Linked DNA regions of Ovis aries. The protein of the gene in region 1 purifies or fractionates together with the protein of each later gene. This does not show direct contact. Links are inferred from orthologs where the notes say so. Each region holds a gene or a part of one and is shown on either strand. Other genes may lie near its edges. The genes, in order: TSPYL1 and DDX24.

Region 1 (4,539 bases):
TCACCTCTGCTCTGGTCATCAGTTTCACACTGACACTCCCATTTCTTTTTACTGTAATTAAACAGGGTCCACCCACTGGGATAGCCCAGCACAATCTTTCAATTTCCTGATGCTTAACTGAAACATACCTACGGAGTCCTTTTGCCAGGTAAGATAAGATACAGGTTATGAAGGTTAGGACATGGACATTTTAGGGGGCCATTATTCAGTGTACTATAACAGAAAAAAAACAACCACCCCAAAACATTTGCCTCTTTCACATCTTGAGGTAACTAACCAGTTTTAAAACTGGTATCCAGCCGTTTGTGTTCTACTCAAGGCCATCTTGGTTATCCATTTTAACTGGCTTTTCTTCATAAAAATGGAGGTGGATGGCCCCTCTACCAGTAATTCTCCGAGGTCCCCTAGCCCTCTAACACCAGTTTTCCTCACAAGTCAACAAACTAAAACAACCAAAGACACTGACATCCCTTTTGAAAGAACTCTACAAGCTAATTACCATGAACAGATACTTCACCAGAGCCAACTTTTACTACCTTCTTTCAGAACTAAACTTGTTATTAGATTAATAAATCGATGGGGCTGGAAATAGCTTTTCTATTTCCTGCAGTGCTGGGCCGCGGAGAGAGATTCAGCAATTGATTCTGACTTAATTCCTGCAAACATCAAGCAAGCAAGCTCTTCTTTGATAGATTATCAAGGTAAGGCTAGCAAGGAACAATATGCATGAATGACTTTTGTGGTAAAAAGTCGTTCAGTAGCTTTTTCTCCCAGCGATGTTACAGTCCAGAATATTTTCACTACCCGAGAAAAGGGAAACATTTTGCTATTAATTTAGTTAAAAAATAAAGAGAATTTTGCTCCTGCCCATCATGGAGTAACAGGGAGATTTACCCTCTTGCCTACTGCTACTGCTGCTAAGTCGCTTCAGTCGTGTCCGACTCTCTGCGACCCCATAGATGGCAGCCCACCAGGCTCCCCCGTCCCTGGGATTCTCCAGGCAATAACATTGGAGTGGGTTGCCATTTCCTTCTCCAAAGCATGAAAGTGAAAAGTGAAAGTGAAGTCGCTTAGTCGTGTCCGACTCTTCGCGACCCCATGGGCTGCAGCCCAGCATGCTCCTCCATCCATGGGATTTTCCAGGCTAGAGTACTGGAGTGGGGTGCCATCGCCTTCTCCCCCTCTTGCCTACAAAACCATAAAAACATGTTTTCAGACAACAGAAAGCAGTGTAGTACTGGGATCCTTACAATTACCCCAGCGAACAATCTGGAGGTACTTCCAGATGCATAGCCAGGAAGGGAGGGGGGTGGGGGTCTCACTGCTTCAGCCTCTGATTGCGAGCCACATATTTACGTAAGTCAAATTACCAATCCACCGGATTAAATTCGTAAGAATAAAGCTAACACTCGTAAAATTAAAGTGAACACTCGGACCGTAGGAAGCCTGGTAAGACATCCCAGAAGCCGCGAGTTCTCGCGTCACATCGAGATCTACTGCCCTGACGTCATCCTCACGGAGTCACTCGCGAGATTGGAGAGTGGGTGGTACGAGCGAGCAGTTTTCGTCAAGCGGGGCTTCTGAGAGGAAAACAGACATTGGCCTTCGGTTTATCTGGGTACTGCCGACATGAGCTGCCCAGACCGGGGCGAGAGGACCCCTCTCCTTGAAACCCACAGCCTCACCCCATCCGACTGTGCCGCCGGAGCTCCGGACCCTCCCCGGTGCCTGAAAACAGAGGCGTCACAGGTGATGGCGGAGACGGGTGAGGGGTATTTCGAGGCCGTCGCGCTCCCGCCACCCCAGCTTCCAGAGGAGGAAGGCGCACCCCCAACTGCTCCCCTAGATCCAGGCTGTGCCGGTACGTTCCAGATCCGAGGCGGTGGGGATGGCGGTTACGTAGCGCCCGAAGCGGGGCTAGAGCCGGCTCCGCCTCCTACGGAGGGCCTGGAAACGGCGTCTGTGTCCCTGGCAACGGAGGATAGCCTGGGAAATGGCCGTCAGCCCGGAGAGCCGCAGGGCTTGAGTCGAGAGAAGCCGCTAGAAACTTGTGGCGCGGAGAAGTTGGGGTCTGACTTGATGGCGGAGGCGAAGGCTGAGGAAGTGAAGACTGAAGAGGGCCCTGTCTTCTCGGTCGCAGTGGATGAGGAGGTGGTGGGGAAGGAAGGAGCGAAGGAGGAGGAGGGAGTGGAGCAGGGAATGGAGGTGGAGGAGAGGCCAGTCGGTGAAGAAATAGAAATGGTGGAGAACAGAGTGGTGGAGGAGGCGGGGCATCGGCCCCTGCGTATGGATCTCCGCATGAACCCGCTGGAGGCCATCCAACTGGAACTGGACACTGTGAACGCTCAGGCTGACCGGGCCTTTCAACAACTAGAGCATAAATTCGGGCGGATGCGTCGACACTACCTGGAGCGGAGGAACTACATCATTCAGAATATCCCGGGCTTCTGGGTCACTGCCTTTCGGAACCACCCCCAGTTGTCTCCCATGATTAGAGGCCAAGATGCAGAGATGTTAAGATACATAACCAATTTGGAGGTGAAGGAGCTCAGACACCCGCGAACAGGCTGCAAGTTCAAGTTCTTCTTTCGGAGAAACCCATATTTTCGAAACAAGCTGATTGTCAAAGAATATGAGGTCAGAGCCTCTGGCAGAGTAGTGTCTCTTTCCACTCCAATCATATGGCGCCGGGGCCATGAACCCCAGTCCTTCATTCGCAGGAACCAAGAGGTCGTGTGCAATTTCTTCACCTGGTTTTCAGACCACAGCCTTCCAGAGTCTGACAGGATTGCTGAAATTATCAAAGAGGACCTGTGGCCAAATCCACTGCAGTACTACTTGCTGCGTGAAGGAGTCCGTAGAGCCAGACGTCGCCCAATAAGGGAGCCCGTGGAGATCCCCAGGCCCTTTGGATTCCAGTCTGGTTAAACTTTGCCGTTGGGAAGGTTCCTGCACAAGGTCCCTTTTTGCCTCTTAATGGACCTGTGCTTGGGCAACAGATACGGATATGTCTTCTAACCACCCCTCTCCCCCTCCCCCCCCCCCTTTTTTCTGACATTTCTGGAGCCTTTTTCCTCTGGACATTCAGTTCTCTCAGCCTCAAGATTGAGACAGTCATGGCCATGCTCCTTCATTTCCACATGGCCTTCGTGCTTTTCTGCATTAATATCACATGCTGCATGGCCCATGATTCATACCACTCCTAAATAAGCTTGTGATGTAAATTGTATAGTCTTTATCTGCACTACTTGGACCCTGTTTGTTCCCAGAGCCTCCGGTTTGACTCATATCTAGAGGTATTTGTCTAGGAGGCCATTCTACCCATCCTGATCTCTGCAGCACAGGCATATAGCCTGTAGATAACTGGGCGTTAATGACATCAAGGGAGAATTGCAGTGGGCCACTGGGCCTGTATGATTTATGTGACTCCATTGCTCTTGTTGCACCTCTGGTCACGTACTATTGCTGCCTGCTAATGGCTGTTCCCTTGACTGCTACCTACTGGATGGACGTCTGCTAGAACGTTGTCAGCCCCACTCTGGTTTCTGGTAAACAATCTCCAGGTTTCCTGCCAGCACTCAAAAGACCCTTCCATTTTCCCCAAAAGACTTCTCCTGTATTCCTCATCCCCTCCTCCAACCTCCCTTTCCTCCACTCCCATCATCCAGAACCCTAAAAACTGTCAGGCAAGTGGTTGAGGTGACAGGTTAGACTTCTCAGGGCAGGTTGGCCTAAAGATGGTGTCCATTCAAAGTACCAGGCTTTCTCAGTCTCTAGTGAATCACTCAAAAGCTGGGTACCTCTTTGTGCCTCCTTTTTCATCCTGAGCGTAATTAAGTGCCAGAGTGGCACCTTCTCCGTTGTGTCTGTCCTGTCTTATATGGTAAAGCTCATAAGCATATGCAAATCAGGTCTTTTAATTTGGCTCTCCATTATTTCAAGGAACAGGCTGTCTTGTTTAATAGATTGCCAGAGCTCTTATTTTCTTCTCTCTTCTGCATCTTCCACCCCCTTTAGCAACATCTAGAGGATTTAAAAGGAGACAGATTTAGATGAAAAGTGCTATCTAGGCCATAATTGATGGAAGAATTAAAGATACTGTGATGAGTGCCCAAAGCAAGAGAAACTGAGCAGATCACATATAGGCAAAAATGAGCCAGGTTAAAATTGGGCCTGAAATTAAGACAGAGTCTTCAAGGAGGTTGTCAGTGGTGATGGGAGAAGAGGTTCTTTTCCCAGAATTAACACGTGAGAATTGAAGGGGGTTAGAATGTTAAATACATTACCTAGAAAAGAGTTCTGTAAAAAGGGCAACTGAGTACTTTATCTTGTTTTCATTTGACTTAATTTATAAGGAAGGTTAGTACTGTGTGCTTTATTTCACTAGTATTTAGTAAAATCGTGTTATTTTCCTTGTTTCTGGTTACTGGGAAAATTGAGCTATACAGGCTTTATTTTGCTTTCAATTGAGAACATTTGGAAAAATGTGCTATATCTCTGATATAGACACAAATGAATATCTGTAGTGAATTTCAGCTT
Region 2 (3,810 bases), on another chromosome or scaffold:
GCCTGCATGATCCTTTTTGTTCCTCCCACACTGGATACCTTGAGAAGTCCTCCACTGGAGAGGAGAAGAGAACACTAGGCATTAGAGGAGATTGAGATGAATCGAGATTGAGATGAATCTGCATTGAGGGGGACGGGCAGGAGTTCCCCCGGGAGAAGTGTCACAGCTGCTGGTTCCATCTCTCCCAGCACTGCGGTGTGCCACTGGTCTGCTTCTCCAGAGCCTCGGATGTCACCATGCCTGGGTTCAACTCCAATGCTACTGTTGTGGGTGAGGGGAAAGAGTAGAAAAAATGAGGTTGAGGGAGTAGGCCAGGCCTAGACCATAGCAGACCCGGTAAGCCCTCCAGTAACGGCATCAGCAGGCCAGGCCAGCTCTTAGCACTCCCCTGGAGAGGGGAGCTGTGCCGCTGACTGGCAGCCTTTGCTAATCTGGGGGCACTGGTGTTCACGGTGGAAGAAATAAGCAATCAGACTAACACTGTCCCTCGTGTTGTGTGAACCATAGGCATTAAAACCGCTATTCTGGTTGGTGGAATGTCCATGCAGAAACAGCAGAGGATGCTGAACCGCCAGCCGGAGATTGTGATCGCCACTCCAGGCCGGCTGTGGGAGCTAGTTAAAGAAAAGCACCCTCATTTGAGCAACCTTCGGCAGCTCAGGTGAGAGTGCCTCCCTTTTCCCCCACTCCCTGTTCTGAACTGGGCCTGAGGTGAGCTGGCACAGTGCATCCTCCCTGTCACAAAGTGCCATCGTGGGGTACTAAGCCTTGGTACTAGGTACCCTACTAGGTACTAGGGACTTGGCCTTTAGAAAACCAAGTATGCGTGCGGGAGGTTAGTTGAGGGCCCTGGTGGAGGTGGTGAAAGTGGTGTTTGTCTTGGGTTGGGCGGGGGCGGGGGCCACTGGTGGAGTATGCCGTGGTGGCTCCCCTCCCCTGCTGCTAACCTGGTGATCACGGGTCTGTCTGGATCTGTAGGTGCCTGGTGATCGATGAGGCTGACCGGATGGTTGAGAAAGGCCACTTTGCTGAGCTCTCACAGCTGCTAGAGATGCTCAGTGATTCCCAGTACAACCCAAAGAGACAGACTCTTGTTTTTTCCGCCACACTGACCCTGGTACATCAAGCTCCTGCCCGCATCCTTCACAAGAAGCATGCCAAGAAAATCGACAAAACTGCCAAACTTGACCTCCTCATGCAGAAGATCGGCATGAGGGGCAAGCCCAAGGTCATTGACCTCACAAGAAAGGAGGCTACGGTAGAGACGCTGACAGAGACCAAGATCCATTGTGAGACTGATGAGAAAGACTTGTATCTGTACTACTTCCTGATGCAGTATCCAGGCCGCACCTTAGTGTTTGCCAACAGTATCTCCTGCATCAAGCGCCTCTCCGGGCTCCTCAAAGTCCTGGATATCATGCCACTGACCCTGCATGCCTGCATGCACCAGAAGCAGAGGCTTAGAAACCTGGAGCAGTTCGCCCATCTGGAGGAGTAAGTCAGGCCTGTCCACAGACTGGCCATTGGGTCCAGGTTGCCAGGAGGGTGGGAAGCTCCCTTCTCTCTTGGGAGCCTTATTAATAGAAGGTAGTCCTCCAGTCTTTTTTTAAATTTTGCATAGCATGAGGCAGGTTCGCTCTCATCTAGTACATTTATTTTAAAAACATCCCTCAAGTGCTTTTGACTCTCCTCAAACTACACATACGTTATGAAACGTCATCCAGTACATATTACTGAGTGCTTGTTTTGAACCTGCTACTGTTCTAGGGCCTGGTAATAGAATAGTGCATAACACAAAGTCCCTGCTCACAGGGAGTTTACATCCATGTGGAGGGAAAAGTAAGTATATAGTTTGTCAAGTGGTGCTAAGAAGTAAAGTTACGTAGGGAGTTGAGCAGACTGTGGGTGTGTGGTCTGGGAGGCTTTTCTCATAAGGTGAGATTGGAGCAGAGTGTGGAAGAAAGTAAGGAAATGTGACTGTCTGAGGGAAACCATTCTGGCCTGAAGGGTGCTAAGCAAAGACTTGGCGGATTTGGCATGTTTGAGCAGAAGCAAGGATGTCTACCTGTGTGACTGAGGGAATTAAGTGGGAGGGTGATAGGAGACGAGGTCACGGACCTAGAATATTACCTTATTTAATTCACTTAAAGTAGTCTGTGTTATTGCAGAGTGTGGCTTTATTGATTGTGGCCAGTGAAACCCAGTTTGGATCCTGGCTCCACAGCCGAATAGGCATGTATGTATCTTGGGAGGTTAATATCTGTGAGCCTCAGTTTCTTCATCTCTCAAAGGGAGATACATAATAGTGTTATCTTGTAGAGTGTTAATAAGGGTTGCAGTATTTAGAGTACCCGATTGTGGTAAGGAGTTGATTAATGACAGCTGTTAGTTGTTATTAATAAGCTTTCTCTCTACCACAGTTGTGTGCTCCTGGCAACAGACGTGGCAGCTCGGGGCCTGGATATTCCAAAAGTCCAGCATGTCATCCATTACCAGGTAGGGGCATCGGGGAATTTGTGGGCATCTCCCAGCATTGAGCAGGGGATTTTTAAAGCAAAGGTTGAGGGAGAGAGCAAGGAGAATTGTTGGTCCCAAGGCCTCATGCAACAGAGAATACCACTGGTGTCTGGTCAACTAGCTGCTTCCACTTACTATGGTGAGATTTATTCTCCAAAACCTCTTGACATTGTCTGATGTCAGATAGCCCCTCTCTTTTTGACTTGGGCTGGCTACATAATACTGGCAGGTTAGAGTCTTAGTTTCTTCCATGAAATGGGCATAGTAAAGTTTAGCATGTAAAATGATTGCCCTGCTATAGAGAAAAGAGTGGTGGTTAAGTCCTGCAAGGTGAAATAGGTTATTATGTGCGAGGAGTTTAGAAAGCCAGGCGGCACTTCCTAAATGTTAGCTGCTGTTGATGCGGACATTAGTATTAGTGTGTGAACCTAGGGAAAATTAGCAGAGAGTGGTGGTTGGGAGCATGGGCTCTCGAACCTCACTTCCAGCCTTTGAATGCTTATTGGCTGCTGCTGAGTGGGTTAGCTTTTGGCATGTTACTGAGTGTCTTTGGTTTCAATGTCATTGTAAATTGGGAGTGGTGATGCTGCTACCTACTTCATGGGGTTACTCTGATTAAATGAGCTAATGCTGATGGATTACCTAGCATAGTATAAGTACTCAGTAACTGGTGTAATTATTCCTCCTTTTAAATCCTTGCTTTCTTTTTTTTCCTTTAAATCTTTCATGCTTTTAACAGTCTTTAAGGGTGCCAGTGCAGTTGAGCAAATCTTTATTCTTCCTCTCTTTGGGAGAGTCTGGGTCAGTCTATGAGAAATATCCAGATGAACAAAATACAGTTCCCAGCCCCTAAGAAATATCAAATCCACTAGAGGAGGTTAGATGCCTGCAGCCATAATTTTAAGGCAGAAGATACTAGAAAGTGGCAAAATAAAGTTGGACAAAGAGATAACTTCTGGTGTGGGAGGTTAGGTTGGAAAGTGCTTTCTAAAAGATGCTTGGCATTTAGGGATGGAGAGGATTCAGGCATGTAGAGGTAGGGAAGGAAGGAGGAGAGGTGTGGTAGTGGGCTGTTGCCGGGGAGTGAATAGAGGGGATGTGTACTCAAAGAGGAAGTGAAGGATGTTTCACTTCTGGCACCATCATCAACCATGGGTAACAGTGCTAAGAGCACTGAATTAAAGTTGCCCATTCTGGACCATTTTAGTTCACTCATTCCTGAAATGTCGATGTTTACTCTTGCTGTCTCCTATTTGACCACTTCATTTGCCTGGATTCATGGACCTAACATTC

The links.
Region 2: the proteins of TSPYL1 (region 1) and DDX24 purify together in Homo sapiens (affinity purification with mass spectrometry; 3 studies listed by BioGRID and IntAct, counting the BioPlex papers as one, with this or other methods). This does not show direct contact. The link is inferred for Ovis aries from reciprocal best matches to the Homo sapiens genes TSPYL1 and DDX24.

The regions. Positions count from the first base shown.
Region 1 is NC_056061.1:21,654,576-21,659,114, forward strand, and holds the start of TSPYL1 (testis-specific Y-encoded-like protein 1), read left to right. Parts: upstream 1-1,523; 5' UTR 1,524-1,629; coding exon 1,630-2,928; 3' UTR 2,929-4,539.
Region 2 is NC_056071.1:56,449,695-56,453,504, reverse strand, and holds part of DDX24 (ATP-dependent RNA helicase DDX24), read left to right. Parts: intron 1-507; coding exon 508-661; intron 662-978; coding exon 979-1,494; intron 1,495-2,420; coding exon 2,421-2,496; intron 2,497-3,810. UniProt on the Homo sapiens protein: ATP-dependent RNA helicase that plays a role in various aspects of RNA metabolism including pre-mRNA splicing and is thereby involved in different biological processes such as cell cycle regulation or innate immunity.